Linked DNA regions of Diceros bicornis minor. Each later gene encodes a partner of the first gene's protein in a complex. Links are inferred from orthologs where the notes say so. Each region holds a gene or a part of one and is shown on either strand. Other genes may lie near its edges.

Region 1 (14,529 bases):
TTTTATTTTGAAGTTTGTTTTATCTGATATTAATGACATGTACACCTGTTTTCTCTTCTTTGCCATTTGCTTGGAGTATCATCTTCCATCCCTTCACTCTGAGCCTATGTTTGTCCTTAGAGCTGAGATGTGTTTCCTGGAGGTTGCACATTATTGGGTCTTGTTTTATAATCCATCCAGGCACTCTGTGTCTTTTGATTTGAGAATTCAATTCATTTACATTTAGAGAGATTATTGGTATACGAGGGCTTAATACTGCCATTTTATCTTTTGTTTTCCAATTGTTCTATATTTCCATTGTTCTATATTTCTTTTTCCTTGTGTTTTTGTCTACCATTTCAGTTTGGTGGTTTTCTGTGATGCTTTTCTCAATTTTCTCTTTGTTTATGCTTTGTGACTCTGCTCTGATTTTTTGTTTTGTGGTTACCATGAGGTTCATATAAGAGATCCCATAGATGAAATAGTCTCTTTTCTGATAACCTCTTATCTCCACTAGCCTATGCAGGCTCTGTCCCTTTCCCCTTCCCATTCTATGTTTTTGTTTTCACATATTCTTCCTTTTTTTGTGTTGTGAGTTTGTGAGCTAATTGTATTAGCTATAGTTATTTTTGATGCTTTATTTCCCTTTATATTTTATGTTATAATTAAGTGTTTACTCACCTATTCTGATACAGAGCAGTAATTTTCTGATTCTGTTTATCTATTTATCTCATTCTTAAGGTTTTGCAAAATTTTGCTTTTTGGTTTCAGATAGGAAGGCTCCTTTCAACATTTTTTTGTAAAGCAGGTCTAGTGGCAATGAACTCCCTTAGCTTTTGTCTGTCTGGGAAAGCTTTTATTTCTCCATCATTTCTGAAGGATAACTTCATTGGATAGAGTATTTTTGGTTGATAGTTTGTAACTTTCAGGGTTTTGAATATATCATTCCATCTCTCCTAGCCTGCAGGGTTTCTGCTGGGAAACCTGCTGAAAGACTGATGGAGGTTTCTTTGTAAGTTATTTTTGTCTCTCTTGCTGCCCTTAATATTTTTTCTTTATCATTGACTTTTGACAGTTTTACTATTATCTGCCTTGGAGAAGGTCTTTTTGCATTGAGGTAATTAGGAGTTCTATTATTTTCATGTACTTGCATGTCCATTCCTTGTCCAGGTTTGGGAAGTTCTCAACTATTACTTCTTTGAATAAGCTCTCTACTTCGTTCTCTCTCTTCTCCTTCTGGAATACCTACAATGCTTATGTTACTTTTCCTAAGTGAGTTGGATATTTCTCAAAGAATTTCCTCATTTTTCTTAAATCTTACTTCCCTCTCCTCCTCCCCCTGACTCATTTAGGTTTCTATCCTTGAGCTCACTAATTCTCTCTTCCACATGGTATGGTCTATTTTTAATGCTTTCTACATTATTTTTCATCTCACTTATTGTGTTCTTCATCTCCAGAATTTCTGGGTTTTTTTTTTTTTTTTTTTTTTTTTTTTTTTTTTAGAGTTTCAATCTCCTTGGTGAAGTTCTCCTTCTGTTCACTTCATTCCTGAGCTCATTGAACTGTCTTTCTGAGTATTCTTGTAGCTCACTGAGTTTCTTTATGACAGCTATTGTGAAGTCTTTGTCAGATTGTAATCTTCTGTGACTTCAAATTCGGTTTTGAGAGAGCTGTCCTTCTCCTTCTGTTTTGCAATGTTATTGTAGTTCCTCTTGGTGTTTAGTGAATTGATCTTCTGCTGGCACATTTGTGGTAGTAACCAACTTTCTTATTTGGGTATGGCTTTTGTTACTTTGGTTCTGTGCTGCTTCTGGTTGTATTTGAGAGCCTACACTTTCTTGTCTCCATTGCCTCTGCCATGGTGTGTCAGTGCCTCCTTGTGCTGCTTGTGCCTCTGGGGCTGCTGGTGCCTTTGCTTTAACCTCAAGTGTCACCACTGCAGTTGCCAGGCTGTGAGCACTTCTACTGCTTCCAGGGTCTCCTTGGTCCTGTGTTCCTCCACTGACTCTCCATGGGCTGGGATTCTGCTGCACCTTGCACCACCTGTGCCATTGTTCCTGGGTGTCTGGGAGTGCTGGCTGTACTGCAGCCAGGGGTGTTGGGTTCATGGGTGTCACTGTCACTACCAGGGGCCAAGGTATTTGGGAAACTGTGCTCAGCCCCTGCTGTTGGTGGAGCTGGTGTTAGGGATGCTGCCACTGGGGGCTGGGTCACCAGTTCTGCTGTGGTTCCTGAAGCCTCTGGTCACAGGTTCCACCTGCCACCACCAGGGGGGAGCAGGGGCTAAGCAGGTCAAGGTTTTTGTTGTTGCTTGCTGTGCAGCCTCTGGTCTTTAGTGCTAGCTGGTGTGTTTTTAAAACTCAGGTCAGAGTGCCCCATCCCAGCTGAGGAAATCTGAGTTTTATATACTATCTCCACTGCTGGAAGGACCTGGCCACTGCTGCAGCAGGGGGAGGGGGCATGCATGTTGGATCTACTGGTAGATGGGTAGGGATCAAACCTGCCCTCTCTGTGCCTCTGCCAGGACTGCTCACCAGTGCACAGTCTAATTCCTCAGGGAGAAGAGCAGGGAGTACTCTGATCTTTTTTCTTACAGGCATGCAGACTAGTGTGGGGATCCATGCCCTGGATTGCTGCTGCCAGGGGAGGGGGAGGGGGTTGCTCCCCTAGATCCACTACCTCCTGGCGGTCCAGTCCACCCACCTTCAGTTGTATAGAAGCCTGGATCTCTTATGTGTCCTGTTGTGCTGTATAGAGAATCCTCTGTAGGTCAATGGATGTCCAACTAGTTGTAACTTAGAGGGGAGAGACAAAGGGAAAAACTCCACCGTGATGCTGACATCTATTACTATTTAAAATGAAAATTAAAACAAAAGACCATTTTCATCTTCCAGGATGGTAGAGATTAACTAGTTCAGTAATACACAATAACGGCCACAATGTCCACAATCACTCTACTCCCCTACATTATAGACAAGAATATAAATTTGACACTTTCATTAGAGGATGACTTTACTTACTAAAATGATAAATATTCATACATTTTGATTCAATAATCTCAAAGAATCTGTGTTTGTTCATTATAGCATGGTTTATATTACCAAAAGACCTAAGTAACTATTAGTAGATGTCTAGTTTAGTAAATGATCGTACCACCACATAAGAGAAACTTACATGGCCATAAAAAGAAAGAAAAAAAGGGGCATCTCTGCATAAGCTCATCTCTAAGTCACATTACTAGAGGAAAAAATAATTGCAGAACAGTGTCTATGGTATGCTGAGATTACTGTAAAAACTAAGCTGTGAATATGAGGATGAATATACACACACATATGCACATATTTACAAACACATATATGCTTGTAAATGCATAGACTTTTCCGGAAAAATACACGAGAAAGGGAACTAGATGCTTCTGGAGAAAGATTAGAGGATTGGAAACTGAAGTCAGAGAAAGACTTTTTTTTGCTTGCATACACTATGTACTGCTTGAAATTTTGTATTTTGTGGTTTTATTTTGGTCAAGATTACATCACTTTTTTGTTGTTGTTGTTGTTGAGGAAGATTCACCCTGGTGAATCTGTGCCAACTTCTAACATCTGTGCCAATCTTCCTCTATTTTGTATGTAGGTCACCGCCACAGCATGGTCACTGAAGAGTGATGTATGTCCGCACCAGGGAACCCAACGCAGGCCGCCAAAGCAGAGCATGCCGAATTTAACCACTAGGCCACGGTCCTGCCCCAAGAGTATATTACTTTTTTATAAAGAGTTAATTGAAAGGAAGAAGAGAAATAATAAGAGACCAGCAAAAAGCCCCAGCCAAATGAAGCTGTCCTTCATTTCCCTATCCCAGATAGATTTGGCCTGACTAGACTAGATTATGGCAAGGAGGATGTATGTGTGTGTGCACATGCACATGTGTATTTGTTTGTGGTCTGTGTTCAAGTTTCATGATTACTAAATCTAGTGAAAATTTAAAATTAAAATAATCTTGCTTTCTCACCCATTTAGCATTGGATCATCTTTTACTTGAAATTATTAATTGACCCAACAGCTATCAACTAAGTGCCTCCTCACTTCCCAGCACAGTTTGATGCTGTGGGAAGTACCACAGAGGAGAGAAGAGTAATACCTTCCTTCACATTACATATAACAACAAAAGAAACAAGAAAAACTCAAATACAAGAGCTTAGTGATTACCTGAGTCAATTCTGTTTCAAGCCTCTTAAAATGGCTTTTTTGAGATGTTACAGTATCACCAGGAAGTCAGCAGGGGGCACTTCAGACACATCCGTGCTGAGTCCAGCTCAGCTCATTTTTAGCCTAGGGCTTTGATGTTTTGTCTGAAGTTATCTCAAAACGTGAAGCCCTCAGGGAAAAACATTTGCAGTCTTGCATATTTAAGTAATTAACTAGGTCTCATAGAAAGTCTCCTTTGATTTCCTTCATGGACTTAAGTTTTTAAGTTTTGGGGGGTCTTTTGGTTTTATTTTAGAAACGGAAAGAAAGCCTACCTATAAATGAACATAGATTATAAATCCAGTGTGTTATTTGTGGGATATTGTTTTTAGGTTTTGTGAGCTGTCCTCTATGAAAGGCCTACATCCTTCTCCCCTTCAGCCTGTTGCAGTTTGTCTGTGACAGCATGTGTCTCTCTGGTGTGTTCTGACATGTCTCCCTCACCACAAACCCTTGTTCGAGGACATGGCATTGTAATTCATTGGGGTTTTTTTATTATTATTATTATTATTCTCTTTTTTAAAATTAGCTTTTATTTCTCTTCTTAATTTTATTTAGACAATCGTGTTTTTTTTGTTTTTTGTTTTTTTTTGTGAGGAATATCAGCCCTGAGCTAACATCCTATGCCAGTCCTCCTCTTTTTGCTGAGGAAGACTGCCCCTGAGTTAACATCCATGCCCATCTTCCTCTACTTTATATGGGACGCCACCACAGCATGGCTTGACAAGCGGTGCATCTGGGATCTGAACCTGCGAACCCCGGGCCACCAAAGTGGATTGAGTGCACGTAACCGCTGTGTCACCAGGCCAGGTCCTATTTAGACAATCTTTTAATGCAGATATTAAAATATGATTTCTTTATTTCTCTTTGTTTTTTGTTTTGTTTTTGGGAGAGGGGAGGGAATGAATATCCCCAACTAAAGGAAATTAAAATCCTTAAAATGTATCTGGATTATTTAATACCACACTTTTACCATCTGAAGCAATTCTTTCCACACCCCACATTTCCTTCACCCTCAAAGCAAAGAAAGTCAGCCTGATCCCTGTATTCATACCTGGTGGAGGAAGGCAATAGTAGCAAATTGGCTAAATATAATATTTATTTGTACTTCAACTTTATAGAACACAACACTCAACTTTACCAATGGAGAGCTATATTCTGTCTAAATTTAATCTGCCCTTGAATTGCTACTTGGAACTTCTTGAGCATAGCATTGGTAGGTAATGAATAAAATACCAGCATCTCCACTTGTCAGCTGCTGGGTAGGAGAGCTCCAGCATCAGGCACCAGATCCCAGACCTTTAACTTCAACCTCATTGTCACCCTCACTGTCACTCACCGTCTCTGTTCAGAGGCAGCTTGTGCTCCTCCCTGCCTACAATTTACTGCTGGGATATGGGTGGATAGCGGCAAAAAAGTCTTTTATGGCAATTTTTAGTATACACCTTTGTTTTGTTTTTTTCTTATCAAAAGTCAATAGATTTTTAAATACTTTTTATATTTATGATTTCGTATTTGTAAATTTTATTTGTATTAGCCATGCTTTCTTTTCTGCATTAAATATAATTTTTGTGATGGAGACCAGATCCACTTCAGTACTGATGCTCTTCTAGAGCCCACTTAGACATTTCATCATATTTTAATTTAGCAAAAAAGCCACAAAATAAAATGTGCATTAAACTACACATCTACAAAAACATCTGTTTCCCAGTCTTTTCTGGTTTGAAATTACAGTACCATTAAAATATAACATATCAAATACATTTTCCTTCTTTCTTGGGATCGCCAAAGGAAAAAATGCTTTATGATATGTGGTTACTGTTATTTAGTTTTCCTTGAGTTTCATCTTCCCTCATCTGTACAAAAGGAATATTATTAAGTTTGGGGTGTTTTTGTAATGATTAAATGCAGAAAGGGTTGAAAAATGTCCAGTGTGTGCAAATAGCAGGCCCTCATTCAAAATGATAGATAGATGATTGATAGATAGATAGGTAGGTAGGTAGATCGATCGATCGATCGATCGATCGAACTTCCCTACATGTGGAGTTTTGGAGTTTCTGGTCATCTCTTCAGGTATGCCCATTTAACTTTTTACTTACATCATACTAAATTTATACCAGGAGCAAGTGTCCTGCCAAAAGAGCGCTGGGTTGTTAAATATTTATAAAAGGCTTAGCTTCTTTTAATGTGAAGCTTCTTAGGACTGTTGCAAAGGGAAGGTCAATTATGGAAAAAGTCATTCCTCAAGCTATCAGTGATCAAACAGCGTTGCTGAAGTTTGGACCAGGCACTTTGCGAACGCACACGCAGTCAGGACTTGGAGATCCTGTGAGTCTCTGCAGGAGAGCACAGGCAGCTGATCACTCTGAGAGCAGCCAATCAGGAGAGCGCACTGCCATCACACCCACTTGCCACTTGTCTCTGGGATTGGAGGCAACTTGTCTGCTTTTCTATCAGGCTAAGCTGCTACGAGTTAATTCTTCCTGGAAATCTCTGCAACTCTAATGACATGCAGTGTAACAGGACAAGCCACTACAAAACGGGTTTCAAATGAAAAAAAAAAAGAATTACCCTAACTTTTGATTGCTTTGGTTTTGTTATGTGTTAACCTGAGGAATCATTTTAAACATACATTATGCACATCAAACACCCTTTGAGCAATCACGTAAAATCTTCTTGCAGTTCTCTGGGAGGCACAGAAGTGCAAGTTTGTTTGGTTGTCTTAGTAAATGATATTTATGTGTAAAACTAGGCTGCATAAGTATTCTATACAAGATAGTAGGTACTTTTGTTTATCATCTATGTTTTGAGCACATGCAATGCAATTGTATTCATCTTGTGTCATTTTTTAAAATTAGAATTTACTATATAATTTTTGGGAGACTGCCACGTTGTAGTTACTCATCCCCTGCATGGTCTGCTCTACCACTTCTAAAGTTTTTCTGAGGGGGTTAATTCTTGGCAAGTTTTAAAATTCCTCTACATGCTATGTAAGATACAATGAATGTGCACAATGTATTTAATAATTGCAATACAAGACTGTATATTGTGTTGTGGCATTTAATGCACCAACTTTAAGACAGAATTCTATTCTACAGAATAACAGACTGAATTATTTGGGTATTAACAGGTGTATTTCATTTTTGAGAAAAACTTAAAATGTGAGCCTAGTTTAAATTGTATGGCCTTTCAATCTCCTAACATACAAATGTAGATTGTGTGTGTGAGAGATAGAGAAAGAGAGAGGGAAGGATGAGTAGAAGGAAGCATTAAAGATATTCAGCGAAATAATCCAATAAATCAAAAGATTTATGAGTCTGTTCTCAGATGTAAATTGGAGAGTATAGAGTTAATTGTCCTCCTTGGCTAATGTAAATCTTTTATGTTTAAAAAGATAATTTGAAAGCATTCTGAGGATTTGGGAAAAAAAATACAATATCCAATGTGATTTCATTATTCTTATTATTATTCTACTTGCATACCTCAATACATGTTTTTAATACTTTATTAAGATATAACTTACACACCATAAAGTTAACCATTTAAAGTGTATTTTAGTATATTTATCCAGTTGTACAACCATCACCATAACCTAATTTTAGAACATTTTCATCACCATCCCCCCATAACTTCTCCATTCTCCTCCTTCTCTATTCTCTAGCTCCAGGCAACCACTAATCTACTTTCTGTCTCTGAGATTTGCCAATTTGTGGATATTTTATATAAATGGAATCATAAAATATGTCTTTTGTGACTGGCTTCTTTCACTTACCATAACAATATAGTTTTAGATTATTTGACCTCAATATTCTGCCTCTGAGGATAAAATGCTATCCCTACATTCCTTGATGTGTTTTAGGATTGGGTATAATTTGCACCAGGCAAAAATTAGGAATTAGAGCAAGAAGGCTTTTCTCCACCGAATACGCTAATCCATGGTCCAGTGTTAAATACCAGATTGTGCAAGCACAAGCTGAACAACAGTGTCTGCCTGTGGTCCTTAAAGTGACATTGTCTAGGAGAATTTGGGGGAAAAATAACACTGCAAGTTACAAACAGGATCTATCACATAGGAATGGGTTTAAGTATTGACCAAATGTAGTTTAACAGCTTAACTTGCCCTCCTCAGAAAACTGGTGATTGCAGAGTATTTAACAGAAATCCATATAAACCTGTGTTTGGTGCTTGTACAGGGGGATTCAGAGAGCCAGACCCCTTAAGAAAAGCAAATAGTAAGTTCACAGAGAAAGCAAATTTTCCCTTGTGCCCTTTCCCCCTCTTCTCTCTGGCAGGATTAATCGGAATTACAGTTTGCTCAAATATTTGGAAGTGAATTTACGGCCCTCCCCTCAACTTATGATTTTATAGCCAATAGGTGATGAGGTTTATTTGCATATTTCCAGTCACATAAGCAGCTGTGCTGTGGAAACAGTGTCAGACTCAATTCCTCCTCCTCCTCCTCTGAGGAAACCTGCCACTTCTAGCAGCTCTGCCCTCCGCTCTGAAGAGCGACTTGCCCCACGCCGGAGCGCGGCTCCAGCCCGCTCCTGCCTCGGGCTCAGCCGGTTCATCAGTCAGTCTGTCCACGCTCCCGACGGTGTTGTGTAGCTCCTACAGAAGGACGTGCCCCGAGATGGAGAGCAAAGCACTGATCCTGGTGGCTCTGGGCGTGTGGCTCCAGAGTCTGATCGCCTCCCGCGGAAGGGTGGCCGCCGCCGACAGTAAGTTTTGCGCGCAGACTCCTCTCCATCTGCAGACTCTGCTCAGTGGCAACCTCCACAGGTTGTGAGGATGGGAAGGACGACGTCGGTAGGGGTTGCGGATGCTCATCGAAGAGTCTCTTAGCCCGAGCGCCGGCCCCGAGAAAGGTCACTGGGGTGGGTTTCCGGAGCGGCAGGGAGAGAATTCTCCCTCCGATCTCTCTGGGGCGGTTCCCAGTTCCCGCTTTTTCTCTCCCCCGGTTCCCACGCTCTGCCCTCCACTCTAGCTGAGGCCGAGTTCCCGGGCGCCGGGGCTCAGCTGGGAAGGGCGGGACGAGGGAGGAGAGAGGGAGGGCTCAGTTGGCGGTGACCCGCAGTAACCTCCCCACTCGGAGAAGGCAGGGGGGAAAGGCTGGAATGAAAGGCACGCGGGCCAAGGTGACCCTGACTTGGCCGCGGCTCAGCCTCCGCCTGTGGGAACTCTGGCAGAGAGAGCTCCTTCTCCTGGAGAAGCCGGCCCGGGGCGGGGGGAAGGCATCATCCGCGTCTTAGAAGCACAGGACGCACTCGCTCTCCGCGTCGAAGTCGGGGTGGGGAACGAGGGACGCGTGGCGCAGAGTCCTGGGGACGCAGGATCCTGCACTCGCTCGGGCGCCGAGGAAGCTCTCCAAGCTTCCACTCTTGCACGCTCGGCTTTTCTTCGCGCCCAGAAAACCTAGCGAAGGGTTGACCCTTCTGAAAACATGGCGCAGCGACCAGCAGTCTTCTGTCGCTGACTTGAGGACTGCCAGGTTTGCACTTGGCCGCCCTCACTGCCCTCTGAGCTGAACCGCGCCTTCCGGCCGCCCAGCCCCACGTGCGGTCGCGAACACATGGGCCTTGTGGGCGCCGTGGGGAGGCCGCGGACTGAACCCCAGTGACTGCCGGGCCCCACCGGCTCGCCAGGGTTCAGACCTTCGAGGCCAGAGTGAATTTCTTTATTGCAAGGAAGACGAGCGTCCAGGCTCAGACCTGTCCACAATAGAGGCATCCTGCGTAACGTGAACCTTCGCTCAGCTAACACACAACAGCAACTAAAAAGGCAACTGAAGCAAGTCATAAGGTGGAATTGCACTTAGGGCGCAGTTGCTTGGATGTGCTTTCAGGGGCCAAGTCCTCAGTGATTCTAGTTATGGTTGAGTTTGCCCAAGACGTTGCAGCTGAGAGTTTCTTTTATTTCAGTACTGACTTGTGAAAGAACAGTTTTGTTAGGTTAAAAAAAATATTGATTCCATCAAAGCTGAACTGGGTAAAAAGACAAATATCTTTTCTCTTAGTTCAGTTTGAGAATACTGGAGGTTCAATTAGAGAGTCTGAAACGTCTTTCGTAGTGGCATGGTCCCCTCAATAGTGTGTAACACTGTCCAAGAAGAGGGTAGAAACAGGCTACGAATTCTTATTTCAGAAAGTACACCACAGGACAATGTTACCTTTACCATAAAACACACACAAATATGTGTCATCCACGGTTTAAGTTTTTGCTAGGCTCTCTTAGAGAGTCACGACCTTCAATGCCTGGGCTCATCAGTGTCACCTTTCTGGTTTAGCTGCCTCAAATCTAAATGAGGAGTTTGGACCAAACTGAAAGTTCTCTTAGGCCCCTCCAATTCTTACTCTTTGATTTAAATGGACCCTTAAGTGATTAACGAATTAAATTGGATTAATTAATGAATTAAATTGGATTTTAAGCTTTTCCTTGTTGTAAATGTATTCAAGGAGGAAACATTTTTAAGTAGACTTGAAATTAATCCCTCTCATCTTTTCCCTCCCACTCTCACTTCACCCCTACTCCCCCCTTATAGCATGCCTCTCTCATCACTGCGACTTTCTGCCCCTTTTCTCCTCCAAATGCATTCATCTAGGAATGTAAGAATTTCAGAGCAGAAAGGCACAAGTGTGAGGGAATGGTAAGCAGCTCCTCCTCTGGGCTCTGACTTATTCATTCTCGATTTCTTTCTAAGAAGAACATAAGGATATAAGGCACTGCCCTCAGGCTCTTTGTTCTTGGAGCCACCACAGTCTCTGCATGGCCTCATTAGGAAACTTGAAGAGCTAGGAGAGGAGCATGAGCCAGTGCCCAGTAGCTGCAGTTCCATTTGACTGGCCGCAGTGAATTTCCAGGCTAACATCTGAGTTATAATATAATGAGTGATGACAGCAAAATAGCAGATACCATTTGTGAATGGAGCAGAGCTCAGCAAGAGAATGATTGATTAATAGCTGTATTGAAAGGTGGGAGTCAAGCACTGGGGAACAGTTACAATGGAAAATTGTCACTTTCTTTCAGGCAGTGTATTTTTAGCTCAGCCCTCCTTTTTCGCTTTATTCTGGGAGGAGAAATTGGGCTATATAGTGTCGGGGAAGACAGAGAATCCCCCTCAACCCTTTCCCTTAAGGTTCTTATGGCTGGCCAGATAATTAAAAGACAGGTTAGCAGGAGAAAATAATACCAAGTTTAATAATGTGGATACATGGGAGAAACCAGGGAAACTGAGTTTCTCAACAAAATGGCAGAGATTCTCATGTTAAATATTATCTTCAGCTAAAGACAAAGGAGGATGTTGGGGGAGGTAATGGTTTGGAATTTCAGAGGGGAAGAAGACAATTTACATGGAGAGGGAAACGTAAATGTTCGTCAGACAGTTCTTTATAGGGCCACCTGTAGAGAATGTGTCCGAGAGACAGAAATCACAGTAATCAAGAGTATGTAGATTTAAGTCCTCCCCTTCCGTACTGATAACAGTTTCTACAGATAAGGCCATCTCCCCCTCTTCCCAGTACACAGAGGGAGATACCTTTACAAATGTAAGTATTTGGTAAACAGAACTTTGAAAAGAATGGGCTTAGCGAGGACCCTGCCAGTCTGTCCATACCCAGAGTTAAATTCCTTTAGGTAGTTAGTGGGGGAGGTCTAATGTCCATCAGAGAAAATAGTCAAGGTAAAGAGACATATTTCAGGGTGGCCAATTTTTGATCTCCCACAATAGTATACTGCCTCTATGTTTAGAAACATTTTTTTCTATAAAAATGAAACTGTTAGGTAAGTCAAGAGCATTGTCTAAATTGAAATATGTGAAAGGACCAATCAATTCAGTCATATAGCAAAATATTCAACTTGTTTTTTGTCATTCTGCAAAAGCTGCCTGAGCCAATAACTATGGTCATCAGTCTCAGAGAGGAGATAAATTACTGATGAAGTCTCTTAGGAGTGTGTTTGTGTGTGTGTGAGAGAGAGAGGGAAATAGAGGAAGCGAGAGAGAAAGAGAGGGACGGAGGGAAGGAGAGAGGAAGGAAGTAGAAACTTCAAAGAGAATTGCATTATAATTGAGCTTTTGTACCTCATGTCTTCATATAAATGTTAATCTTATTCATCTGATGACTGTGAACTGCCTTTAGAGTATATTTCCTGGGATGCTCAATGCTTCTCCTTTTCTAGCTACAATTATGTACTCTCCATAAATTTACTTTTAAAGTGCTTTGATTTCTCAGGCTAATTTCATCTCTGTGAGTTATTACTCACATTAAGATAAGTTCCTTGTCTTTCTTCACACACTTAGATTTTTAGCTATTTATTTAGGAATAAAGATTACATAATCGAGAAATCCATTAACGTGTAACTTGCCTGGTGCCCCAAAATCTTGTCTTAGTGTTTAATAAGGATATGTCCAATGGGGCCAGGTTGGCGTGGTGGTTCTTGATAAGCCAAATTCAAGGTAAAAATCCTTTAGAAGGAATACATCTTAGGCACTTTTTTTTTCATTATTATAAGGTGGCTTTAATTTCTAAGGGCAGTGGGTAAAAGATCCATATCCCCTTAAAAGGGTAAGTGCAGAGTCACTAACAATGGAGTCAAATGAGTTCATCCTCAAGCCAGGAGCAATCTCAGTGTATACTGGGACACACAAACTTACTGACTGACCCACAGTCAGGTCCATCTATCTCCCCGTCTCTACATGGCTAAGTCACTCGTGTGAGGGCTGATAGAGGTTCGGGAAGCACATTCATCTTTAGGATGCTGAGACATCCTTGAGGGGTTGCAAACACCAGAAGTGTGAAAATTCCCATCAGAACACCAAAGAGAAGGAAAGACTATGCACCAATAACATGTATGATTTCAGATATAGAACTGACATAGAATTGAAAACATCATAGCATATAGAGTGGTACTGTTATCCTGTCAAAGGCTTCATTATGCTTTCTGTAACTTAAAATGAAAAATAATTTTCTTTAGGGGCCGGCCCGGTGGCGCAAGCGGTTAAGTGCGCGCGCTCCGCTGCGGCGGCCCGGGGTTCGCTGGTTCGGATCCCGGGCGCGCACCGACGCACTGCTTGGTAAGCCATGCTGTGGCGGCGTCCCATATAAAGTGGAGGAAGATGGGCACCCATGTTAGCCCAGGGCCGTCTTCCTCAGCAAAAAGGAGGAGGATTGGCGGATGTTAGCTCAGGGCTGATCTCCTCACAAAAAAAAAAAAATAAAATAAAAATAAAAAAGAAAAAAAAAAAAATAATAATTTTCTTTAAAAATGAAATAAAAGTCTCCAAATACAAATTTGCTTGAGAATGTGTGAATTTCCTGTTATTTTTTCTTTACAAGCCATGTACCCAACAGAAAATGTTGGTTGTGGGGAATTGGAGCTCTCAATGAGCTATACAGATAATCTGATACAGGATCTATGGATTGAATAAACTTTGCGTGTGTGTGTAAATATACAAACCAGTCTTAATAATTTCAAAGAATATTCTTAGTCATTTCAAAGCCATCAGCAACGCCAGGGCCACAGTGTTGCATAATTCTAGGGAAAAATAGACTAAAAGTGAATGGCATCCTTTGGAGTTGTGCAAGGCAATAGTCTTAAATACCGATTTGGCAGATAGGTAGTAGGCAAGATCTGTGTGCCAGGCTGTTCAGATTATTTCTGCTTTAAAAAGATTGCTAATTGAACGTGTTAAAATAAGATTGTTAGAGAGGAGGCATGAGTTCTTTGATGTGGAGAGACATGAGAGAGGGTGAAACTAATTTAGTTTTAAATTTTCTAAAGCACTTTCTAATAATAACAGAACTTCTTGGGCATTGAAAGCAGAATCAGATTAAAAATCTACAGTATTTTTTTCTACTATCAGATAAATAATAAGGCCACCAGAGTACTTTCTGCTTACGAAAGAAAAGGAAGCCCTACATCTTCAAATAAGATGAGAGGCAGAACAGTATTCTTGATGGACAAATAGATTTCAAGTGCAATTTTACTTTATGGAAATGAAAAAAACTTTAAATATCAGTAGTTAACCATAGTGTCTTATTTGGATAAATTATCTTAGAATGTTTAAGTGCTGGAGATTTGTGTGTGTGATCAACTTGTTGCGTATAATGAATCACTTAACAAGTAACCACAATACTGTTTAAGGAATTTTGGAAAATAATTAAAAAGAAAATTGTTGGTCAGTTCTCAGATAATTATATAAGCCTTGTTCTCCTGTACTTTCACAGTACTGTATCATTCTTATTTTTATTTTTGGCCTGACTTTTGCAATGTTATTTGAAATTACATATTTTCAACTTTTGAGTTGTGAAAA
Region 2 (14,875 bases), on another chromosome or scaffold:
ATAGCTCTTGTGGTGAGGCTTGGTCAATTTCAGGATGGCTGGTGGTTACATCTCCTTAATACCCAAAAGGAAAAGAAACAACTTGGAAAAATAGTTAATTGTTTCCAAACCCACCTTTGAGTTTCTCGAGGCACCTAGTCGGAGACATGATCAGCATGAGGCCTCTTCTACCTCAAGGCCACCCCTTGCCCAGAGAGGCACACGGTGCCCATCACCTGGGCAGCTTGTTGGTGGAGAGGCTCCCTGGACCCCAGTGGGCCTGGTCAAGCTCTGGTTCCAGCCTCCGAGCATGGCCCTGAGCAAGTCCCTCCCTGTACCTCCCTTTGCGCATCGGAAAATTCGGGGAGTGATTTCTCCCTCAATGGGAAGGAAGGAGGCCCTTCCCTGTCTGGCCACTCTGGGGTCCAGAGAAGGATCTAGACACAGGGAGATCAGGGGCACAGGTTCTGGGAACAGGCCCGCCCACTCCTGCCTTATAAGGAGGTTGGTGGGAGCTGTCAAAACCCTGCTGCCCAGGCTACCTGCTCCCACCAGTGAGTCCCCCCCAGGGCCCAGATTCCAGCAGGGGCCCTGCTCTGAGGGAGGGAGAACGAGGGACACTGCAGGTGGGAGGCTGCTCCTGACCAGAGTGCGACTAGTGTGCTTACCTACGCCAGAGCCCAAGCTAGGCCTGCTCCAGGGGAGTGAAACCGAGAATGGAGTTAAAATTTCCCTAGATTAGGGGGACGCCCTGCCTGCACCCACAAGGGTAACATGAGAAACAAAGTAACCACGGTTTCTAAGCTTGCCTTGCAGAACAAGGGAGGACTGCTGATAAGACAGCAGCTTGCTGACAGCCCCCCACCTGACTGAGCATCTGGCAGGAGCTCTGAGAATCTAAAATGACCCACTGTAAATTTCAGGCGTCACAGGCTAAAAATCCACCGCAGGCAACACATAGAAACCCCCGAATCTGCAGATGTGACGTACGAAGAAATATGAAAAACAGTCGTGCCTACGCAGAGGACTCTTAAAACTTCAGCCCCCAAGGCCACATGCTACCCCTCCCCTACCTAAAACCCCAAATAAAAACCCTTGCTTGGAGCTTTTCAGGGAGTTCGGGATTACAGCGTTAGCTGCCCATTCTCCTTGCTCTGCACTTTGCGATAAAATTCCTACTTTCTTCCACTACACTCGGCATCAGAGCTTGACTTGCTGCCTGATGGGTGAGCAAATCCACTTCCAGTTCAGTAACAGGACAGCCATTCCTGCACCCAGACCTGTCACCTGGGGGTGACACACCAGGCCCCATGCCAACTGCTTTGCGTATTAATCTGACCCACACAGCCATCCACTGTGGGAGGCTGTGGTCATCCCGTCTCCCAGTGTGAAGACGGAGGCAGATCGCACTGGGAACCTCCCCGAACCTCCCTTCTCATTTCTCTGAGCCTCTCCTTGCCACGGGCTGACCCTTTTCACGCCATAACTCCATCTGAAATGCCCTCAAATCCTACAAGGAAAATATTGTCAACCTTGTCCTCTAGGTAACCAGAAATGGGGGCAGGGAGGGGCAGCCCTTGCCACGGACGCTCGCTGGCAGTTGGAGATGGAGGCACCCTCCCAGCCCAGGGCTCCCTGGTCCTGATGAGACTGAGTCCCCATACTGACATGCAGGACTCCATGTTTTGAACTTTCCCTGACCTCCATCTCACCCTCACAGGATACTTTTAGAAACGCTTAGAACTGCACCCAGGCAACCTAATCAGTAACCGGTAGAAAGAATAACTTGTTAGCAAGAAAATGTATGATGCCTGCCCAGAACTGTTCCTTCTGTCTCAGATGAGGAAATAACTCGTTTTCTTAGATTCCACAGGATATGTCACATTCAGCAGATCTGAAACTTTTGTCAACAGAGAGGTGCCCGACAGTCTGTAGGCATCCATCACCTGATGTTCCTGAGCCCCCTCCCAAACCCCACTGGCCTTGTATAAGTCGTTTCCAAAGCAGTTCCCCTTTAAGATGGCATTTTTAGCACGATATGCGCCATCTTCTGATCAGCTAGCTCATGGCTTAATGAAGTTCCTTCTCTACCACCCCCGCCTCTTGACTGATTGGCTTTTGCCTTGCGGCGAGCAGATCAAGCCCTTGCCGCCTCAGCCAGGCAGGCCACACCCCTCTCAGCCCATGTCCTCCTCTGTAGGTAAAGCCTGATTTAGAGCGTCAACACTCCAAGAAAACAATTCACTCACAACTCCTGCACTCTGTGCACCGGGACAGAGCAGGGAGCAGAGCCACATAGACCTGCAGGGCTGAGGTGCAGCTGACAGCCCGGCGCTGCTGCTACTACAAAAAGCAGAAGCCTGTGTGGTCTGGCAAAAGCCCAGCGCCAGCCCTCACCATGGGTCTCAGCCTCAGCTTTCTGGAACTCCACCCTCTGGAGACCCCAGACCTACCTCTAGAGCCGAGAGTCCAGAGCCTCGAGCTGGGGCTGAGACGTGAAGACCGTGCTCCTGAGGGCTGTGCTGCCTGCCCTGCGGGGTGTGGAGCTTGGTGAGTCAGGCCCAGGGAGGCTGAGGTGGAGCAGGGGCTGGGAAGGTCAGGAGGCCACCCCTGGAGAGATGGGGTAGGGGTGGGGGTCTGGGCCTCTTACCACCCCTCTCCCAAGCCCACCCAGACAAGATCCTGTGGGGACCCTGCCAGGCCTGCTGGCCTCACCTGTGGCTCCTCATCTCACCCTCCCAGGGCCCATTCTAACACGAGCTTCTGAGTCTTGAGTCAGGCAAACCTGGGTTTGAATCCCAGACCTCCATTTCTCTCCAGGGTCCTAAGAGCTCAGAATGAGAACAGGCACCAGATGGGGTTGGGGGCAGTCCAGAGGGAGGCACCACGTGGCAAGAGCACAGAGGTGGGATCTCGCCTGGGCTGGGAGGTCAGAGGGACTGGCCTGTGTCCTCTCCTGTCCCTGCCTCCTGAGTGACTGCATGAGAGAGCCCTGTGCCACAAGACCCACGGCATCTCTCTGGAGGAGCAGCTCCCTGGGTGAGTGCCACTTCCCCCCAGGGCTCTCTGTGTCCTTCCTCCCAACACCCAGAGAGTCCCCTGCCCCATCCCCAACCCCACGGGATCTGGGAACCACAGGCCCCCACTCAGCGAGCTCCTTGGGCAGTGGACAGGGCCCTGTATTTCGAGTTGTGCCCCTAGTCACATCCCATTCCTGAGCTCAGGACCTGGGCGATTCCCATCATCCTTGAGTCACAGATTCCTGTCGATGCAAATAATCCATAGTCAATCTATAAATCAAAATTGCGGTAAGTTTATTATGAGCCAGATCTGAGGTGCAGCCTGGGGCCTTCCTTCCCAAAGGAAGGAAGGGCACCAAAGAAGTAGGGTGTATAGACTGGTTATGTTCCGTCTTGGAACAAAGAGCATACATCACATATGACAGGAATGTCTCTTTTACAGTTGTCACGAGATGCTCAGCGGGCACAGCAGGTCGGTGGTCAGCAGGTCAGTGGTCACAAGGTGAGCACAGCAGGTCGGTAATTAATCCTTAGTTTCCAGGAAGAAATGTTTATCCTCAAAGAAATGCCCATATGGGAGGAAGCTACATCCCTATCTTTAGGAGCATCATCCTTGTCTCTGGGACATAGTAGATATTTAGAGCAGATGTACAGTGCGTGCTCAACATGCCATGTCAGGCCCTTTTGGAAAAACAAGGTCAGGCCGAATTAGTTTTAAACCACATGGCTTCCTCATATCCTCCAATACATCCTATTGCTTGTCATTTATTTACCATTCCTCATCCACACATGGGGAGATGCACACACCTCCCCAGAGGAGTGAGAGAGCCGGCTCCTGGCCCCCTCTCATCCTAGACCCCAGGTCCCACAGGAGCGACGGGGAGAAGCCATCCAAGGTGGCTGCACCCCTCACACCCCCAGAGGATGATCACAGTCACATCGACTCTGGGGAAACTTAAAGAGGTAGCAGAGCTGGGACCCCGCCCAGACCACCCACCACACTCTAGCACTCCCCCTGGCTTCTCCATCGCCTCCTCCCCACTCCCCCCAGGGATCTAACCTCACCCCCTACCCTGCCCCCCTCCAGCGGGACTGCTGGGCGAAGACCCTGCACCTGAAGTTCTGCCACCACACTTGCCAGGAGTCCAAGTGGGACGTCCCCAGGACGCGGGTCGCCTGCTCCACATGGGCCCGCAGACGCGCTGCTGCCAGGAGGGCCTGAGCAACAACCAGGGCCCAGCCCATCGCCCAGGGAGGGGAAATCCTGTGCTGCCCCAGGCGCCATATTTGACCTAAGTGACCCCGCACCACCACGTGCAGAGCCCAAGCCCGCGCTCAGCTCGCCATCAGCATCTTTCCTTGCAGGGCCTCTTTGGGGGGGTGGGGGGCGGCTTGGGCGGAAGGCGGCACCCTGTAGAGCTGAGACCGTGCAGAGCGCAAAGTCTGCTGAACACAGACTCCGTTTCCTCCCTTTTCGTACAAAGAGCAGCGCGTGTGCACTCTCTCCAGCCCCTGCTTTATCCGTGTGATATTCTTCTGATTCAGACACAAAAAGCATCTCCATTCTGTTATACGGCCGCAGAGAATCCCGCATAATTATTTTCAGAGTTTTTTTAACAGGTCAGTGTGAGGGAGATCGATTTCTAATGCGATAAAATAAAGGACATGCACAATGCCCCTCGCCCGTGCACTTTCCGAAGGGGAGTGGCAATACGAAAGACTGGGGCCCCAGAAGCTGAGAGGCCAAGCCTGGAACCCCTCAGCAGGAGGATGGCCACGGTGGCGGGGCCTGCGGAAGGTCTCTGGAGAGGGTGGTGCCGTCTCGTGTCCCTTCAGTGCTCCAGGCGAAAGGAGGGGCACCTGGGTGTTCGAGGTCAGGGGCGGGGAGGACAGCCGGGGGGGGGGGGGGGGGGGGCAGGGAGTGGGCGGGGTCAGGGGGGGAGGACAGCGGGGGGGGGCAGGGGGTGGGCGGGGTCAGGGGTGGGGAGGACAGCCTGGGGGGGCCAGGGAGTGGGCGTGGTCAGGAGTGGGGAGGACAGCCTGAGTGGGTGGGATCAGGGAGTGGGCGTGGTCAGGAGTGGGGAGGACAGCCTGAGTGGGTGGGATCAGGGAGTGGGCGGGGTCAGGAGTGGGGAGGACAGCCTGAGTGGGTGGGATCAGGGAGTGGGCGGGGTCAGGGGTGGGGAGGACAGCCTCTGGGATGCTCTGGGCTGTGTTCCATGTAGAAAGCCTGGGGTGAGTGGCAGTGTCAGATGGGTGACTGATGAGAGTTCAGCTCCTGGCACGTGGAGATGTCACCAGCGGTGCCATCAAGAGCTGTATAAGGAAGGAGTGAGGAGGGAGGTTGGGTAGAAAATTAAGGAAAGAGAGGGCTTTTCAGGGGTTTGTTTCTAATAATTGTTTTAATGAGAGACACTTGGGTGTGTTTACATGCAGAAGGAGAGGAACCAGTCCAAAAATTAATCAGAGAATCACCATATGATCCAGCAAAGCTGCTTCTGGGTGTAGACCCAAAGGAAGTGAGGGCAGGGTTTTGCAGAGATCTCTGTACACCATGTTCACAGCACCAGTGTTCACAACGGCCAAAAGGCGGAAGCAAGCCAAGTGCCCACCAAGGGATGGACAGATAAACAGAATGTGGTCCATTCACACAATAGAATATTCTTCAGCCTTAAAAAGGAAGGAAATCCTGTCACATGATACAACCTGGATGAACCTTGAACACATTATGCTGAGTGAGATAAGCCAGTCGCAAAAGGACAAATACTGTATGAGTCCACTTATATGAGGGACCCAGAGCAGTCAAATTCAGAGACAGAAAGTAGAATGGTGGGTGCCAGGGGCTGGGGGGAGGAGGAGTTAGTGTTTGATGGGGATAGGGTTTCAGTTTGGGAAGATGAAAGAGTTCTGGAGATGGGTGGCGGTGGCAGTCACACAACAATGTGAATGTAATTAATGTCACTGAACTGTACGCTTAAAAATGGTTAAGATGGCAAATTCATATTATGTGTATTTTATCACAATAAAAAAGTTGAAAAAAAAAAAAGAAGAGGAACTAGTAGAAAGAAGAGAGGGGAGCTGCAAGCCCAGGAGAGGAGAAAGATGCCGGGGCCAGGGCCCGCACTTCCAAGGGGGCCGCAGGAGAAGAGGGGGCATCGGGACAAGGGTGGGGGGGTGATACCGGGCACAGGGTGGGCAGGGTGCCAGTCTAGAGGTGGAAGGCTGGGAGCTTCGCAGAGGAGTAGGGGCAAGGTAGTCTGCTGAGAATGCAGGAGCAGGGGCAGCACTGCTGGGCTGGTGCTGGACACCAGGGATCTTCAATCACCCTCCGCCAGTGGGGCTTGGTGGGGCAAGGGAAGGTGAGACTCCCCAGGGTTGGTGTGGATGGGGCCGAGGGTGTGCGAGGACTAGAGAAAATGAACCCTGAGTATTCCTGGGGTGTGGACATGTGGAAGGGAGTGGGGAGGCCAGAGTGGGAGGGCAGGCTGGACAGATGAATAATGTGGGCCTGCATGCCTGAAGGAATTGAGCTTCTGAGACCCTGAGGTGTTTCCTCACAGGTCCTGGGCGTGACTGGAGTGCAGGGCACTGGGCCCTCCAAGACGACTGGGACCCTGTTCCCTCTGGCTGCCCCGCCCCCCACCATGACTGTTCCTCGGTGCTGGATTCCAGGGAAGAAAGGGGCCTCATCCTCATTACAAACCCCGGGAGTGACCTGCCTGGCTGGTCACTCTGGGGCCATCAGAAGCAGAGACCCCAAGAAAGAGCCCTCATGGCACCCTGCCCACACTGGAAGGAGGGTCTGGACTCTGCTCTAAGGAGGAAGGCCCTCCCTCTGTTCCCAGAGGCAGAGAGGGTGGGAAGGAGCCCTGAGCAGGGGAGATGGGCGTGAGGGCCAGCACCTCTGCAGCCCACATCTGCCCCCATGCCTGTGTACTACCAGGCAGGGCGAATGCCTTTCCTGACCCCACAGACACCAGACCTTTGCCTGTTGGTCAGAAACATTGTCCTCTCTTCCCCTGTTCTGGGTCTAATTCACCTGGTGACCCCAGAGGCCAACACAGGGTGGGGAGGGGGACAGAGTAGGGGCTCAGAGCCCAGGACAGGGCCACACAGCTTCCCAAGGAGAACAGGGCCTGTGGTCCCCCACCCCCACCTTCTGCCCCCTGCCAGGGCGGGAGGGAGTGTGGATGGCCGGCGTGCCCTGTCCACGACTGACACCGAGGTCTGAGCCCACGGCTGCTGCCAGGAAGAGCAAGGTGACCCACACCACTCACTCGGCGGAGGGAGGCCAGGCCTGGGGGAGGGGAGCCAACCCAGCAGGGTCCACCGGGCCACCCACAGGAGCCAGCCTGGCCGAGCGCGACAGAGCAGGCAAGGCCAGGCCCACGCTGCGCAGGGGTAGGCGGGCAGGGAGCTGGGGCCCCCGGGCTGCCCTAGAAGGGCATCTCTGCGTGTGGGCATGGCTGAGGGAGACAGCCCTGGCCCAGGAGTGCGCCGAGCCCAGGGCAGAGGCTGTTCAGGACGCAGGCTCTAAAGTGGGCCTGTGCCACCCACGGGCCACCAGACCTCAGCCCTGGCCCTGGGGGCTCTGAGGGAGCCACGCCCCGACCTGGGGGGTCTGCAGGGCATGCCCTTGTTCTGGAAGCCTGGGGTCAGAGAGGTGCCACCAGCAGGCATGTTTTTGGACCAGAACGTCTGAAGAGGCCTGGGTGGGGAGAGGGGTGGGCATACACAACCCCCTCAACCTGAGGGCTGGGGGCCGCGGTGAGACCAGGTATCTGTTGTCAAGGTGTCGGGGCGGGAGGCCAAGCTCCCCAGCCTCACCGGGCCTCAATCACACCTGCGACCACCAACTTTGGCCTAGCCATGTGGCTGCGTCTGCATGGGTTGGACCAGACCCCAGCTCCTTTCCTGGGGAAGAGGGAGCAGTGCCTGCAGGCAGTGGAAGGGAATGGTGAGGCCGCAGGAGCAGGGCAGTGAGCCCATGGAGGGGGCGTGACAAGGCTGTGGAAGGGGGGGTGGCGAGGTCGCAGAGCGGGGTGGTGAGCGTGCAGCCTGGGGTGTGGTGGGGGGAGGGGGCAGTGGTGGTCAGTACAGCAGTGATGGAAACACCCCACCTCCCAGAGTTGTTGAGGGCTGGTATCAATTACACTGAATTTTAATTAGTGAACTAAACCGGGCTATTAATATCCCTAGGTGATTCTGACAACAAGCTCTGGCCTGGGCTGGGCAGCTGGCACCTGGGCCGAGGAGGAGCTGGGCTTGGGGAGGGGCAGGCGGCAGGTGGAGACCCCTGCTCCCTACCAGTTCTGGGAACCCTGTGGGGCCCTTCCTGGGAGCAGCTCCTGTGACCCCAGATGGAAAGGCCTGTAGGAGGAAGCTGGGTTGACTGGGGGCTGCCGTGGACACAGTCTGAGGAGTGAAGAGGGCAGGTCTAGGGCCCGGACTCCGGACTGGATGAGACTCCAGCTGGAAAGTGACTTTGGCTGCCGGAGTGGGGGACAGGGCTTCCAGCATCCCCATTTCCACAGTCTATGGCCCTCAGAAGAGGAAGGGGTGCACCCAGGGACACAGCCAGGAGGCTGCCAAGCTGGCCTGAGCAGCCCAGGCCTCTCACACAGGAGCCACAGGCAGAGGGTGGGCGGGCGGGTGAGGGAGGCCAGCTGCTGGCTGCTCCCAGCTCCCACCAGCCCTGGACAGCCTGGCACAGAGAGCGTTCCCCAGGGCAGGGGTGCCCCCTGGTCAGGGAGCAAACACGAGGGAAAGACAGGCCATGAGATGAGTGACGGCAGGGAGGCCTCTCTGAGGAGGTGACATCTGAGCAGGTGAGGGGACAGGCAGCATGGACATCGGCAGGCACAGCATTCCAGGGGGAGGAAACAGCGAGGACAAAGGCCTGAGGTGGGAGCGAGGGCAGCCAGGCAGCCAGGGAACCAGTGCGCTGCTGGGGGAGAGGGGAGGAGTCGGGGGAGGATGTTTATTGGGCTTTTATTTAAAATACTCTTAAGAAGCCCTGGACTACGGGTGAAGCTGACACAGGGTTGAAGGTGCCCGGTGGGCGGCCTGCAGCTGGAGGGCCTGCGACGCCAAGCTCCTGCGGCTGTGCGGCCTGGGCCTGGGTCCCACAGGGTCCAGACGTGGGACAGGGGGCTGTCAGGCACAGCCCCGGCCCAGGGCGAGGCCCACCAGCCCGCACCACGGGGCTGAGGCACCAAGGCCGGCGAGCCAGGCCGGGGGCGGAGGGGGCGGGCGGCACAGGTGGACAGGATGCCCCAAGGCCGACCACAATGACTTCCCCTCCCTCTGGGGCCCCTGAAGTCAGGGAGGGAAGTGGCCATCCCTGGCCTGGTGCCTGGCGCGGGGACCAGTGTGAGACCCATTGTTTGAGGCTGGAGCTGGGGGGGCCAGGGCCTCAAGGAAGCCCCGGGCAATGCATCTTGTCCCACTTCCCACAGACCCAGAGCCAAGCAAGGACCCGAGCGGGCAGCCCCGGCGGCCCCAGCAGGATGAAGGCGCTCACGGCTGTCCTGTTTGCCCTGCTGTTGTGCCGGCAGCCAGGTACTAAGGGCTAAGGGAGACCCTGCAGTGAAGGGGACAGCATAGTCTAGGCCCGTGGGGACCCCCAGGGACCCCCAGCCTGGGGGCAAGACACAGCTTGGGGGAAAAGGAGTGGGTGAGGCTGGCGTCCAAGGCCAGAGGCAGGTGGAGGGGGTTGTCCTGGGCTCCCACAGACCCCCAAACCTCTGCAGCCCCCCGACAGCCAGGCTCCCTGCTCGGCATCTTTGAAATGCGGGCTTTGAGATTCCCCCTCCTCTCCCAGCCTCAATTTCCTCTGCTGTAAAATGGGCAGGCCATCCTGAAGGTTTACTGGGCGGCGGGGGGGCGGGGGGGGGTGCAGCTGCTGTAAAGGGCCGTCCACAGCCGCTGGTGTTGTTGGTAAGGACAATGCTAGGCTGCGCCCGGGTGAGTGAGCAGGGCCAGGGCCAGACAGGGACCTCACCAGCTTGGGAGGCGGCGGGAGGACAGAGTGGGGAGGAAGAGGACGGAGGGGTGGGGAGAGGACAAAGCGAGGGGCTGGGGGCGCGCACGGGGCCCCGAGCGTGTGTCCTCTGTACCCGGGTAGCGGAGGTTTACAGGCGTTCCTGCACGGCCAGGGAGAGGGCGGGCGCAGGACGAGGAGGATGAAGACTCGGACTTTGGCCCGGAGGGCTACGAGGACGACGAGGACGAGGAGGATGAAGAGGCCAGCATGACTGCAGAGAGCAGGGGCAGAGGTACCCTCCGTCTGGCCCCAGACAGCGGGCACCCGTCCCTCTTTTCAACACCCTGTGTGGTGCTGGTGTGATGGGGAACCGACAGGCAGAGGCCTCGCCTGTGAGCCTGCCTCTCAGCAGGGCAGGGGAGGGGATGAGGAGGAACCCTGACACTCAGCACACCCCTCACCTCTCACTCTGACCAGGACCCTCCACTGCCATCCAGAGCAGGGAGCCTACAGAAGGAGCCACTCCTGGAAGGGGCAAGGGTGCCAGGGTGGAGAGGTTGAATAGGAGTTCACTAAGCAGAGAGGGGTGCAGCAGAGCCCCAGGGTGGAGAGACCAGCGAAGGAATGCAAAGGCCTAGGTGGTAATCTCAGTTCAGAGTGACATGAGCAGTCTGGGGCAGGGAGGGGAAGGTGGGCTGGCCAGTCCTGAGGAGGAGGCCGCAGGGAGGCTCCAGCAGGGCAGGCTTTGTGGGGGATCAGCTGAGAAGGGAGAGGTGGACAGGAACTGCGGGAGACTTGGAGGGGAAGAGGCCCACACCAGCACAGGCTGGAGGCCGCTCCGTGGTGGAGGGGGAGGCGCTCTGGCCTGTGGCCGGGCCTGAGCCCACCGCCGTGCCTCCAGGGCTGCTGCGCTGCTACTCCTGCCAGTCCCTGCACAGCGAGGAGCTCTGCAACCAGACACAGAGCTGCGTCCTCAGCCAGACCTTCTGCAAGACCCTCATCTACCACGGGAGCACCGGTGAGCGGGCGCCCTGGGGCAGCTGCGAGGGCCATCACCCATGCCCGGGGCCAGGACAGGCACACACCCCTGTGAGGGGCCTGTCCCTGCCCTGCCGTCTGTGAGACGCACCCTTTCTCCACCACTCCCCGTCCCCAGAGTTGGGTCCCCTGACCACCTACTCGGCGTGGTGTGCCGACACGTGTCAACCCACCAACAGGACAGTGGAGGAGACCCTGATGACTATGACCTGCTGCCAGTCCACCCTGTGCAACGTCCCACCCTGGCAGGACCCACTGGACAAGGGGGCAGGCAGCCCCCAGGGTGGTGGGGCAGGGGGCCCCCCGGGTAGCCCCACAGCTGTGGCCACTGCCCTCCTGCTCAGCCTCCTTGCCGGCCCTCAGGCAATGGGGTCCTGAATGGGACCCCATTCAGGTGTGGGGTCCCCAGCCCAGCTTATACCCTGGCTGGTCAGCACTCTGGCCAGTGCCTTCCCCTCCTGAAACCCCCAACACCATCTTTGGAGAATAAACATGGAGTGTCTTTAATGATTGGGCCTGCACTGGCTCCTCCCAGCCCCATCTGCATTTCCCCATCTAGCATTCTTGGCTCCTCTTCCCCCTGCCCTGCAGGGTGAGATGGCCAGCAGGAGGGCCTCTGGTCCAGGCCTCAGCCACTCACAGGTGGGTCCATGCAGCCCCAGAAAAGTCTCATCGTATGCCAGGGGAGCCCGCACCCTTCTCTCCTCAGCTTCGCGCCAATGCATCACCTCCATCCACACGGCTGTCACCTGGGTCAAGCTTTGCCCTTTCCCAGGATGCGCACATCTGCCTCCCAGCCCATGTGGGGGGGCCACTGTGGGAGGGAGGCTTCCCGCCCATGGAGGAAGCCCCTGGGGGGCCGCAGGGGTGGGGGCGTTAGTTAATGAAGGGCAGCTGGGAGAGAAGGAGAGAAGAGAGGGAGGCAGAAAGGTAGGCTGAGACAGGACTTTCCAGCCAGCTGCTCAGCCTGGTGGGCGTGGAGTAGGGGGGTCTGGGGGGTGCAGGGAGAGGCAGAATGGACCTGTGAGTTCCTGAGGAGAAGAGGAGGGGGGTAGTGGGAAGGGACTGCATAGAAGAACCTGCAGGATCCCCAGTGTCTGCTCTGGCTGGGCTGGTGCCATTGGCTGCTGGGCACTTGGCCTTCTTGACTGGTGGGAAGATAGAGCCCTGGGATGGGAGGGAGAAGGCCTGGGCCTCAGTTTCCCCATCAGAGTAGAACAAGGCTTAGAGGACCCCTAGAGCCCCACCAGCTTGACATCCCCTGGGTTGGGAGGCCCAGAGCCTTCTCCTGCCTGTCAAGTGTCCCCCGCAGGCAGAGTAGCCTCCCACTCTCCAGTCTCCCCTTTCCTTATTAATGGAAACCTCGAGGCCTAGCTGGGAGTGGGCACGCAAATCCCTTAGGTGGAGGTGGCATGTCTTTCTTCTTCCCTTTCCTGCGCTTTCTGCTTCCCCAGGGGTGAGAGGGGGGCCCAGCTGCTGGCAGGGCCCCAGGACCCCAGAGAAGAGGCTGTCGCCACAGCAGGGGCCCCAGGCCAGGGCAGGCCCCGCCTTGGCTGGCTGGAATGATAGCTGGAGCTCAGCAGCTACCTTGCACCATGAGGCTGCGCACTGAGAATGGCAGGGCAGCATGGAGAAAGGGGCCTGGACGGCTGATGACCAGGAGCCATGACACCAGCCCTGCACTGCCTACCTCAGGACTCCTTTACCCGGGAAGGAAATAAACTTCTGCCATGTTGAAGCTAGTTATCCTGGGTCTCTCTGTCACTTGCATTTTCACACACTCACACACGCACTCGTGCACATGCACACACTCACAGTACTCCCACTCGTGCACACACTCACAGACACAGACAGCCCTACTGCAGCACAGCAGATAAGAGCAGAGCTGGGGGTCACGCTGCCTGGGATCAAATGTTAGGCCACACCCTCCTCCAGGACCCAGTGAGCCCCTCCCCACAGCGGTATTCCCCATTGGCTGAGCAGAAGGGCCTTACCTGAGGGCTGCAGTGAGAACTTCACAGCCCATGCCTGGTGGAGAGCAAGGGCCCAGCGACGTGAACTACTGCTATCAACATGGCCCTAGTGGCCCCAGCTCCTGTGTGCCGTGTGTGTGTGTGTGTGGTGTGTGTGTGTGTGTACGCACGCGCGTAAGGATGGAAAACCCCCACCTGAGTGCCTTACCATCAAAAGAAACCTCGTTAGCCACACCCGCCCGCCTTAGAAACATTGGGTACCATCACCTGCATCCACAGAATTCTTCCTTGGACCCCTGTCCTCAAGCCCTTCAAGGCCACCCCCCCCCCCCCCACACACACACACACACTCTTTCAAGGCCCTCAGCACCGGGTGGCAGCTGGGCTGCAGGCTCAGTGTGAAGCCACCGGCTGCGGGGCCTGCCCTGGCCTGGGGCCCCTGCTGTGGCGACAGCCTCTTCTCTGGGGTCCCGGGGCCCTGCCAGCAGCTGGGCCCCCACTCCCACCCCTGGGGAAGCAGAAAGCACAGCCCTGACTCCTCACTGGGACTCTAACCACCCCCCCATCCCCGCCTGAGGGCACAGGAGGAGGCACGTTGCGCTTTGATGAGGGGGAGGACCTGATGTGGGGCAGAGAAGCCCATCCGCTGGGCACCCCATCCCAAAACACCGCCCCCTCCCAGGCACCCCAGCAAGCTCACTGTCCTGGCACCCAGGGTCCCACCTGACCGAGGAGACACTGTGGCCCAGACTCGAGCCTCTGGCTCAAGGTCACGAAGCTGGGTGGTGGCAGGTACAGGACCCAGCCCTGGGGCCACAAGCCAGGTGGGCAGCAGCGCCAGGAGGCCTGAGCCAGAGGTTGGGAGGGAATGGATGGTGGCCAAAGCCCAACTGGATACCCAGGCCGAGTCCAGTCTGAGGTGCCAGGGGTCAGTCACAGCCAGGGCATTATCACAGAGCCCAACACCGGTCCCAAGAAGGAGCTGCTGGAAGCATCGGGAGGCAGCCCAGCAGGGCCGCTCCTCATCCAGCCCAGGCAGCACCTCTGCAGCCACCCAGGAGGCCGGCCAGGGAGCACGTCCATCTGGGTCACCTCATCTGTTTCCCATGGCTGCGGTAACAAATGACCACAAACTTACTGGCTTAAAACGACACAAAGGTATTATGTTACAGTTCTGGAAGTAAGAAGTCTAAAAGGAAGGTGCCGGCAGAGCTATGTTCCTTTTGGAGGCTGTGATGGTCAGCCACTGGCTGTCGCAGAGCCAGACGTGGTGCCTAACTCCAACTCACGGGACAAATTCTAACCATGCCTCCCTCCCTTGAGCTCTGACCAGCTGAGAACACGGCGAGGAGACATGTGGGGATCAAACGGCCCCGACAAAAGAGACAAAAGATACAAGTGAGGATGCAGGGCCCCAGGACAGCAGGGGCAGGAGACCTGGGTGCAGGCAGATCAAGGGGGTGCAGGAGAGACGGTGAGGGAGCCAGAAGCCACAAGTGCATCATCTCTTCTCCCCCTTAGGGACTGGGCTGCAAAGGTCACCCCAGGGCTCACCCTCTGAGGGGGTCCCTTGGAAACAGGCATCTGGGGAATGGGGCTCCACCCTGGCATATGCAAGCTGGTTGTCTCTAAACACACTGGGTGTAATGTGACGCCTGTGTACAACCCTGGAGGGGCAGATCAGTAGCCCCCCATCCCTATCTCTGTTCCTCGTCATCTCCTCCCTAGAAGGCTCTGAAATGCGTGCAAGCCACGTGGCACCCTGGCCAAGCTCGCTCCCTCCCTCCCCGCCTCCCAGAGGGTGTCCAGCCAGCTCCCTTGAGCAAAGTGCTGGACCATGCAGCCACGCGTCCCCTCAGACCTCACAGGACCTCAGGCTT

Evidence for each region.
Region 2: the proteins of LPL (region 1) and GPIHBP1 are in contact, whole or in part, in a crystal structure (PDB 6OAU), measured with the Homo sapiens proteins. The link is inferred for Diceros bicornis minor from reciprocal best matches to the Homo sapiens genes LPL and GPIHBP1. Residues at the interface, in NP_000228.1 of Homo sapiens: Tyr367, Gly368, Thr369, Ala371, Glu372, Glu374, Leu403, Met404, Lys406, Lys430, Lys440, Ile443, Cys445, Ser446, Arg447, Glu448, Val463, Lys464, Cys465, His466, Asp467, Ser469; in NP_835466.2 of Homo sapiens: Cys68, Lys69, Ser70, Leu92, Ala94, His95, Gly96, Asn97, Thr98, Glu99, Ser100, Leu103, Thr104, Thr105, Ser107, Trp109, Cys110, Thr111, Asp112, Ile117, Lys119, Val121, Glu122, Thr124, Val126, Met128.

Annotation. Positions count from the first base shown.
Region 1 is NC_080750.1:73,708,487-73,723,015, reverse strand, and holds the start of LPL (lipoprotein lipase), read left to right. Parts: upstream 1-8,689; 5' UTR 8,690-8,853; coding exon 8,854-8,941; intron 8,942-14,529. UniProt on the Homo sapiens protein: Key enzyme in triglyceride metabolism.
Region 2 is NC_080760.1:55,938,124-55,952,998, forward strand, and holds GPIHBP1 (glycosylphosphatidylinositol-anchored high density lipoprotein-binding protein 1), read left to right. Parts: upstream 1-9,508; coding exon 9,509-9,560; intron 9,561-10,156; coding exon 10,157-10,276; intron 10,277-10,885; coding exon 10,886-11,002; intron 11,003-11,140; coding exon 11,141-11,400; downstream 11,401-14,875.